Drosophila melanogaster: one gene and its partner. The protein of the gene in region 1 interacts with the protein of each later gene in a biochemical or structural test. Each region holds a gene or a part of one and is shown in the gene's direction. Other genes may lie near its edges.

What was found. The genes of interacting proteins can lie anywhere in the genome.
Region 2: of the proteins of Diap2 (region 1) and HtrA2, one has a biochemical effect on the other in vitro, tested with the Drosophila melanogaster proteins (one study listed by BioGRID).

The regions. Positions count from the first base shown.
Region 1 is NT_033778.4:15,931,661-15,936,783, reverse strand, and holds Diap2 (Death-associated inhibitor of apoptosis 2), read left to right. Parts: upstream 1-1,958; 5' UTR 1,959-1,986; intron 1,987-2,066; exon of another isoform or gene 2,067-2,203; 5' UTR 2,204-2,213; coding exon 2,214-2,585; intron 2,586-2,964; coding exon 2,965-4,000; intron 4,001-4,063; coding exon 4,064-4,152; 3' UTR 4,153-4,614; downstream 4,615-5,123. Other genes in the region: Mlf (Myelodysplasia/myeloid leukemia factor), read left to right, coding at 204-324; bug (bunker gear), read right to left, coding at 944-1,803, 1,861-1,888.
Region 2 is NT_033777.3:14,508,530-14,513,704, reverse strand, and holds HtrA2 (HTRA2-related serine protease), read left to right. Parts: upstream 1-1,992; 5' UTR 1,993-2,298; coding exon 2,299-2,886; intron 2,887-2,954; coding exon 2,955-3,469; intron 3,470-3,553; coding exon 3,554-3,719; 3' UTR 3,720-4,656; downstream 4,657-5,175. Other genes in the region: CG8461 (uncharacterized protein), read left to right, coding at 158-223, 285-822, 878-1,008; mRpL11 (mitochondrial ribosomal protein L11), read right to left, coding at 1,071-1,241, 1,302-1,586, 1,647-1,781.

The DNA.
Region 1 (5,123 bases):
ATCCTACGAATCCATCACTCGCTTGCCCACATCATCCATTAATGCTCCCTTTGACCTTCTCTTCCTGTTAATAAATTTTCACTTGCGTTCGAATTGGCCTGTGTACGAATGATTATTATGTATACCTTTTGTTTTGTATTGTGCCTTATTCTAATTAATCGTTTCTGTTAATTAATGAACATTTGTTTCTGCTCCGCCAGCAGCATACATCCACATCCCTATGCCGCCAATCCGAGGCGCCAACAACGTGCCGTAAAACATTTTCACACGGAGGACGAAGCGGCCAGCTCCTACAAGGCGGTCAAGCGCGGCAAGAAGAAGTAGTAGAAACGTGATCATCTGTATGCCAACATCTTCCGCATCGCACACTCAAAAACACTAGGAAGCAAAGCGTTGGGTTCTGTTCCATAGCAGGAAAACCAATTCAAATATTTTTTAACAAACACAATTCTTTACCAGTTCTGTCTTATCCTGCGTGAGTCGACCAGAATGCAACACTAAAAAATGTACAACTTCAAGATGCTATTGATGTGCACGCAGGATACAGAACAACTTGCTTAAATTTACTTAAAACAAATGTGACTATTCAACGCCGAAATCATTACAACACACACTCTCAGACCTAATCGAAAAATTCAATGAAAGTAATGGAATATATATGAAATCGTAATTATAAGTTTGAATTATTTGATTAATTCTCAAGTTTTTAGATTTTGTTAGCCACTAAGCTTTAAATTATGGATGCCAGTTAGCGTGCAAATGAACACAATTGATTTGAAGGCTCCGAACGATAGAAAACAACAATTACCAATTCCCCAAATACATGTAATTCGTAAGGCCTAAGTAAATGTTAACGTGAATTTAATTAAATGGTAATTACATTATAATAGTAAATCCAGTGTTCTACTTATGCGACTTATAGAGAATTAAACGTATTAACTAACTAGTCCACCATCTCCATTTGCGTCTCCTCGGATTCCCGCCAAATGCGCTGCACCATCTCTACCAGCTGCTTCCAGAGCGCCGTCTTACGCAGGAAGTTGGCAAGGCAGACGAGAATAAAGGCCCAAGCCAGGCCCAAATAGTAATCCGTCTGCACAATGGGTTTATTAGACAGCGGCTCCATCTCTGCGCGAGTGAGGATGATCGGATCAATGGCCTGCGGATTCACAGTCTTCATATTGGTGTGACTCATTATGAAACTGGCAAAGCTGCTCTTTGTGTCCTTCCACCCGGGCTCGAATTTGATTAGCGGCCTGCCCTGGTGGAATAGCATCAGTGTGGGCAGCGAAACGATGCCGAATTCTGCATTGAAACGACCAAACTCATAGGCATCCACATAGGCGATGGGTAGCGTGGGAAAGTAATGGGGCAGCACGTTGACCATCGAAGCCACACGAGCGCACTCCAAGCTGGATGCGGTGCAGAAATGGACAAGTACACAGTTGCCCGGCTCGTGGCGCTTGGTGGCATTGCCCATGGGCTTAAGCAGATTCACTATATCCTTGGCACTGCGCATTATCAGCAGTTCCGGCTCGGATGCTGTCTCATTCTCGATATCCCGCTGCAGGCACTTCATCATAATAGGTGGCTTTCGAACCGGAGGCAGCTGGTTTAGGTGCATGATGTGCTCGTCATCCGGGGCACATGTGTGTCGCTCCTTCAGCAAGGTTTCGAAGCTATAATGGCACTGGCCCCGCGAAACTCCCAGGGAATACACCGTCAAATTTGAGAAGAGCCCGAAATACTGGAGGGCACTTAGTAATCCGGAGAGTTCCGCCTGGCCCTGCGCGGCGCAGAGCACTGTGGAAGTGGTATAATGTTACTGATTGAAGAACTCGATATAAATAAATAACGTACAAAATACAAACAAGAGATTTTGGTTCATTATATCGTTGGTTGGACAGCTGTTGAAATAGTTGGCTGTTATATGGCACTCGTGAAATACCTGGAAACTTCTTAGGTTTGGATATACCGAATAGCAAGGTAAACTGCTTGACCTTGTTTTTGTAAGCAGTGCCCATTAAGTTGGTATTTCATCGATGAAACATTGACGATGTATCGAAAAACATCGATGCTTATTTTTACATCGCTACAATAAGTTTATATTTTTACCTTACCTTATTTTCATTTTCGTCTGCGCTCGCTGGTGATTCCCTTGGTGGCATTACATCATTGGTGGATCCATTCGGATCCAATTTAGAAGCGCCACGATGACGGAGCTGGGCATGGAGCTGGAGAGCGTTCGCCTGGCGACATTTGGGGAATGGCCCCTGAATGCCCCAGTTTCCGCGGAGGATCTGGTCGCCAATGGTTTCTTTGCCACGGGAAACTGGCTGGAGGCCGAGTGCCATTTCTGCCACGTGCGCATCGACCGCTGGGAATACGGCGATCAAGTGGCGGAGCGCCATCGCCGCTCCTCGCCCATCTGCTCCATGGTTCTGGCTCCCAATCACTGCGGCAATGTTCCCAGGAGCCAGGAGAGCGACAACGAGGGAAACAGCGTAGTGGACAGCCCGGAGTCCTGCTCTTGTCCCGATCTCTTGTTGGAGGCCAATCGCTTGGTAACTTTCAAGGACTGGCCGGTGAGTACCCTGAGCTGGTGTCGCTCGCTTCTGGTGATTCACCATAGCGGGTCATTGTAATCACTATAGTTTCAGTTTCAAGCTCACTATAAGTGCATATGTAAGTATGATTGCGTAGTTAAAAAGTAGCGTAAATGAGGCCAGGAAAATCCCGGTCGAAAGTATCAATGATATTTTTGTATACAAACAAGAAATGTCTTGTTAGCTGCCTCAATTCAGCTGAATGTTGATTGATAATCCTACGAAATTAAGCTTTAATTAAGATATACAAAAATCATTATGAACTTCAAATGAAGTTATTGTATACTGTATAATTTCAAATATTTTTAATGACTGAATAAGATAGTTTAACTTTAGCCCAAAACGTCTTCCTTTGTAGAATCCCAACATCACGCCGCAGGCTCTGGCAAAGGCAGGTTTCTACTACCTGAACCGTCTGGATCACGTGAAGTGTGTTTGGTGCAACGGAGTGATTGCCAAGTGGGAGAAGAACGACAATGCCTTTGAAGAGCACAAGCGCTTTTTTCCCCAATGTCCTCGTGTGCAAATGGGCCCCCTTATAGAGTTTGCCACCGGGAAGAACCTGGATGAGCTGGGCATCCAGCCCACCACTCTGCCACTGCGTCCCAAGTACGCCTGCGTGGACGCCAGATTGAGAACCTTCACCGATTGGCCCATTTCCAATATTCAGCCCGCTTCGGCTTTGGCGCAGGCTGGCCTATATTATCAGAAAATAGGCGACCAGGTGCGCTGTTTCCACTGCAACATTGGATTGCGCTCCTGGCAGAAGGAGGACGAGCCGTGGTTCGAACACGCCAAGTGGTCGCCAAAGTGTCAGTTCGTTTTGCTGGCCAAGGGTCCAGCCTATGTAAGCGAAGTGCTCGCGACAACAGCTGCCAACGCCAGTTCCCAGCCAGCAACTGCTCCGGCTCCAACGCTCCAAGCAGACGTACTGATGGATGAAGCTCCGGCCAAGGAGGCCCTAGCCTTGGGTATCGATGGAGGAGTTGTGCGCAATGCCATCCAGCGCAAGCTCTTGAGTTCCGGCTGCGCTTTCTCTACGTTGGACGAACTATTGCATGACATCTTTGACGATGCGGGCGCAGGAGCTGCACTGGAGGTGCGCGAGCCGCCGGAGCCAAGTGCTCCTTTTATTGAACCATGTCAGGCCACCACCAGCAAGGCAGCATCTGTGCCAATACCGGTGGCCGATTCCATCCCAGCCAAACCACAGGCAGCTGAAGCAGTGGCGAATATATCGAAAATCACAGACGAAATACAAAAGATGTCGGTGGCCACGCCGAACGGAAACCTATCGCTGGAGGAGGAAAACCGCCAGCTAAAGGATGCACGCTTATGCAAGGTATGCTTGGACGAGGAGGTTGGCGTAGTGTTCCTGCCCTGTGGCCACTTGGGTAAGTCGCTGAACTATACCTTGATTGCCTTGAGCTGTAGCTAACTTCCTGTTAACCCGACAGCCACCTGCAATCAGTGCGCCCCCAGTGTAGCCAATTGTCCCATGTGCCGCGCAGACATCAAGGGATTCGTGCGCACGTTCCTTTCGTGAAGTGCATATCGACATCATTTAGAGTTCACCAGCCTAGTTAGCAGTTAAGCAAATCGATTGATTGCACCCACACAAACTACTACAGCGAAGTTCAAATTATCCGGTGATTAGCTAATATAATCGTCTACTAATCGTCTACTAAGTACTTGGCCAACTGCAGCTATTCGTTTTTACATTAGCTACGGTTGTAAGTTGTCGTTACTAACTATCGCATTGTGTCCGAGCGCATCCCTTTTGAACCATACATTATGCACGCTGAAATGACCTTATATAGATGAGCAGCTCTAATTCGCGCTGAAAAGGGTATCAATGCACCGGCACGACCGCAGATCACATGGATTTCTTGTTATAGTACTCTTATTAACACATGTATGTATTTTTGTTGATCATGTTTATAGGCCGCTGATAGTATGGTTTACACACAACTATATGCATTCTCCAATAAATGTATATGTAAATGTTAAAAAATTTGTCTTTTCAATTGCAAAAATTCTTTAAAATAATTTATTTATTTTGCTAAGTTTTAAATCCCAACGGTCTTCAAGTGATGTGCCCCGAGAGATTAGCCTATTAGCTTGCAACAGTCTGATTCCACTGCTCACAACTATCTCGATATCATCGCCATGCACGGTTCGATACTATCGATAGTAGCATCGATGTTTTGACGGCTCTACTCAAAAGTACCAAAATATTGGTATCCAAGCAATCGTTTTCAGCTCTCCGCGTGAAGTCGTGTGCGCTGCTCGTAAGGGAGCTCCATTGAGTTCTGGTCGCGAAAAACTAACAAGCTCCAACGCCAAGAAGTGCAGAAGATAGTGAACAAAATTTAGAAGAACCGAACCGAAGCTACGGGGAATTTTATGTGTGAAATCGAAATTACCAAACGCGCGCTCGTGTGAGTATATTCTGCGAGTATTTCAAAGGAAGAGTTCAAGTGTGTGTGTGTGTGTCTGGTGTTGCTGCTGCATTTT
Region 2 (5,175 bases), on another chromosome or scaffold:
CGGTTAACTAAGTTCAGTGTTGGCTAACGTGTATCGCAGCGCTTATCGTAACGTATCGTTATCGAGCCCAGCAGTCAGCTGTTTATAACCCAAACAATCACACGTGAATTTCTTAAAAAGTAAATAAATAAAATTTTAAACGAAAACTAAAACAAAAATGTCCTCTCCCAGTGAATCCTCTTCAGCTTCTGAGCACGAGGCTAGCGATGACAACGAAACTCAGGTACAAGTAATACAACTATACAGAAATATGGTTTACTACATATGCGAGAACTTCGTTTTAGAATGCCATTCGCGAAGATCTCAAAGGAATGTCATTCGAGGAGATAATGAAACTAAAAGAGGAGCTGGGCGCCAAGGTGTACAAAGAGGCTGTGCTCGGTAGCAAGAGTTCTAGACCCCAAAAACCAAAGGCCAAAACCGACCTCAAGCGGCTAAACAAAAACCGACCTCGTGAAATGACCACCAGACGACAGGTTCCATTTTTGGGCGCCGAGCACAGAGTGGAGCGGAAAAAAAATGTTGAACTCAGAGATCCAAGATTTGACGAAAAATCCGGAACATATAGTGCAGAAACCTTCAAGAAGAACTACCAGTTTGTCTCCCAGATTCGAGCAAAGGAAGTTGGTCAGCTGAAGAAAAAACTGGACGAAGTGGAGGATGAGGCGGAGAAGCACCATATAAAGGACACCATGCAGCGACTTATCAATAAAAATGTGGAGGACAAGAAGTGGCACACCAAACAGAAGCAACTGAAAAAGGAGCGCTCCGCCATTCAGAAGAAACACGATTTGGGACAACAACCTCATTATCTGACAAAGAGTACGTTTCTGATCGACAGCGAAATCAAATTTTAATTTGTTTTTTTTTCCGACAGAGGAGCGTCGAGCTAAGGAACTAGTTGCCCAATTCGAGAAGCTGAAAAACACTGGAAAACTCAACAAGCACATGGAAAAGCGACGCAAGAAGAACGCCGCCAAGGACCGCAAACGCATTGGTATAGAATAAGACTTACGCTTTAAGTATAAATGTATTTTAAACAATTAAAAGCACAGTGCAAATAAGCAAATCTAGCCCGTGCGCAACATCTTTGCTTCCCGCTTCTCCTGCAACTCGCGCCGTTGCTGTTCCACAATTAACTTGCGCTCCTCCAGGAACTCGCCATAGGCCGCCGGATCTATTTCCCTGACCACTTTGATGCCACAGGTCCGAGCAATGCTGATGAGCATCTCACACATTTGCTAAGAGACAAGGCATAAACTTGAGTCGAAGTTATATCTCAAACTTTTCGGAATACCGACCTGCATGGTAAGAAGTACATTGGGCGGGTCCTGAATCTTAATAGCTGCAATCTCGTACAAATGCTTGAGAGTGATCATGCCGGCAACCTCCTTGCCAGGAGTCATGGTGCCCCTTTGTATGCCCGCCGCTTGCTTCAGGAAAAATGTGGCCGGCGGATGGTGGATGGCCAAGTCGTAGCTGCGATCGCTGTTTACGGAAATTCTGCACGGCAGCGGTACGCCCTCTTTCATTTCCGCGGTCTTGGCATTAAAGTCCTTGCAGAAAGCGGCGATATTAATCGCTCTCTGTGTGTGGTTAAAAACAAAATTATATACATATTTTAGTTTTAAAGCCGGCTAACTCACCTGTCCCAACATCGGTCCCAATGGCGGACCTGCAGCAGCCATTCCCGCAGGTATATTCGTCTTCAGTTTGCTCGTGTGCGTCACACGTTCCACCGTCTTCTTTAGCGATTTCAGCTTACCCGCTGCCTTCGACATTTTAATTGATTTATTTTAACTAAACAATTGATTCAAACTGTTATGCAAAGCGAAATGTGTTGGTGGAAGGAAGAAGAAGCAGCAACAGCTGATGGTATTGCTGTCGTTTCTAGTTGGAACGTATAGCTGAATAGCTAAAAACATACTTCCGAATGTGGTCTTTAGCAACATTAAACATGAGATGATGGTTTAAAAGATCCAAATGTCATTTGCACAATAGCAGGCTTTTAAAAATACTATATACAATACTATGAAAGCAGCTAAAATTTTAAAAGCCCTTTGAATTATAGCTAAATGTACAATAGCCAAATTCCCGTGATAAGCAGACGATTAGCCACCCCTGATGCGAAGAAGAAGCATCGCGGCCAACAGCTGTTTGCATTGCCTATCGCCTATCGGTAGTCGAGGGTGTCGCAGCAGGCAGCTTTTGTGGCAGAGTGCCAAATTGAAATCAGCTGCCAGCTGAGAAGTGATAAATTAAATAACAATAACAAACGCCGTGTAATCACATAAACCCATGGCTTTGCGCGGTTCCCACCGCTTGGAAGTGATCTTCAAACGCTGCATTGCCTCCCCGGTGTTACACAGTCATGCAGCCAATCGGAGGAGCAGTCAACTAGCGATCAAAGAAGGCGATCCAAACAGCAATGGTAACAGTGGGCAATATCAGCAAAATGGTGAACAAAAAGAAAAAGGCTGGAGACGATTGGTTCGATTCTTTGTGCCCTTCTCCCTGGGCGCTGTGGTCAGTGCGGCGATCATACAGCGGGAAGACTTAACGCCAACGATCGCCGCTTCCAAAATGACCGGTCGTCGGCGGGACTTCAACTTTATAGCTGATGTGGTGGCAGGTTGTGCGGATTCGGTGGTCTACATTGAGATTAAGGACACCCGCCACTTTGACTACTTCAGCGGCCAACCGATTACGGCATCGAATGGTTCCGGCTTCATTATTGAGCAGAACGGTCTCATCCTTACCAACGCCCATGTGGTGATCAACAAACCACACACAATGGTACAGGTGAGGCTATCCGATGGCAGGACTTTTCCCGCCACCATCGAGGACGTGGATCAGACATCCGATCTGGCGACTTTGCGCATACAGGTAAGCGTACAGTTGAATTTCTAAGCAGCGCAAGTTCTATATGCATATCTTTAAATCCAATCTTACAGGTGAACAATCTTTCGGTGATGCGGCTAGGCAAGAGCAGTACCCTGCGATCCGGCGAGTGGGTTGTGGCCTTAGGCAGTCCGCTGGCCCTAAGCAATACGGTGACAGCAGGCGTAATCAGTTCAACGCAGCGTGCATCTCAAGAACTTGGCCTTCGAAACAGGGATATCAACTACCTGCAAACGGATGCTGCGATTACGTTTGGCAACTCCGGCGGTCCCTTGGTCAATCTGGATGGCGAGGCTATTGGAGTTAACTCGATGAAGGTGACGGCTGGCATTAGCTTCGCAATACCCATTGACTATGTAAAGGTGTTTCTGGAGCGGGCGGCCGAGAAACGAAAGAAGGGCTCGGCCTACAAGACTGGCTATCCGGTGAAGCGGTACATGGGCATCACCATGCTGACGCTCACACCGGATATTCTGTTCGAGCTCAAGTCACGAAGCCAAAACATGCCCAGCAACTTAACGCACGGCGTGCTCGTGTGGAAGGTTATCGTTGGGTCACCGGCGCACAGGTGGGTCAATACCTAAGTGGTTAACCTATCAATCAACCAGCATTTTCCATTACAACGTGCTTTTTTGCTCTACCTCCTTTTTAGTGGTGGACTCCAACCCGGAGACATAGTGACCCACATAAACAAGAAGGAGATCAAGAACTCATCGGATGTCTACGATGCCCTGGCGGATAATAGTAAAACTCTAGATATAGTGATCCTGCGAGGTGTGAAGCAGATGCACGTGACCATTACGCCAGAAGATCCCTAGTTTAACCTGTATGCAGCACCTGTACCCAATTGTATATATTTATATATCTAAACAAAACCTACCGATCCTGGGAAGAAATCGCTGACAAACCCACCCCCCACACGCTCCTATTCCTAATCGGGTGCGCCTGCCTATATTTGTCTCTGGCTAACGAGTAGGGAAATTTGCATAGATCGCGGGCTCGTTATCAGTGGCCATTATTAACAGCGGCACGACCATAAGTTAATCTACGCATCGGACGGCACGAAAATGTATCTCCGACTGGGTCGATTGGGTCGTCTGTCCGTTTCCGAACATCATCGATTTCTCTTTCATGGAGCGCTGTGCGTGTCCCCTACCATCCGTCTGTCTGACCGTCCGTCCGTCCGTCCGTCCGTTTGTCCTCTTCCAACAACGACAAAAATATATTTACGCTAATTGAAATATCTTGCGTTGCGATCAATCGATGCCATATTTTTTATAGGCCAAACCTCGGCAGTGCAAAAAATGCAGCAGCAACATCAGACGCAAAAAACGTCGAAAAGCGAAATGCAAATTTCAATAAATTTATGCAACTGTATTCCCAGCGCTTCACTTGGCCAGCTGTTCAATACCCTCGATAGGGGTACGTTAGGTATATTTTACAAAATGAAAAATTCTATTTTTTGGGTGCTGAGAAGTTCAATGGTCGAATAGCGAACTTATTGCAAATTATTATTAATAATTATTTTATGAAACTGAACCTTTAAAATGTATTGTCTAGTTGAATCACATTGCATATTCAGACAAAAATATTCAGTCGTAGTTTATGATGTTAACCCTATTTCATCGAAACAAACATGAATGTGTAATTGAAATGAGTCTTCTCAAATCTACATGTTATGTGCATAAACAAAACAAACCTAAAATATGACCTAATAGTTGAAATGCATTAAATGGAATTTGTATCCGAAACAATCTTTGTACACATTTAAAAAAAAGGGTATTCAAACCTCACATAGCTGAGCTCAGATTGGTTTGGCTTCGGTTTATTTGTGGGTGACAAGGCAGACGTTGCCAATGATGATGTTGTTGCCGCTGCTGCTGCTGCTGTTGCTGTTGCTGTCGTTGCGTGAAAAGTGAAATTCTTGTGATTATTAATTTTGTTTTCGCTTTTGGCGATGCTACGCTTTTTTGGCTTTTGCATATAAATTCATATATTGATTCCGCCGGACTGACCATTGTTGCTGGCATTGCCGTTGTTGTTTATGTGACAGCGGCCTTTATGACATTGTTGGCACTAAGTTACCTTTATTGCTTATAAGCCGCACGCATAAATGCAGCTTAAAGTTCATAAATTTGCCAATATTCACTCGGCAAGGGGTTAAGCAAACGGACCTCGCTTTTGCGATCGTGTAAACACTTTTTACTTCATTCACTGGCGCCCCACGCTTTTTGCACTTTCTTTCTGCCATTTCAGCCGCTTGCTTGCCGGGCA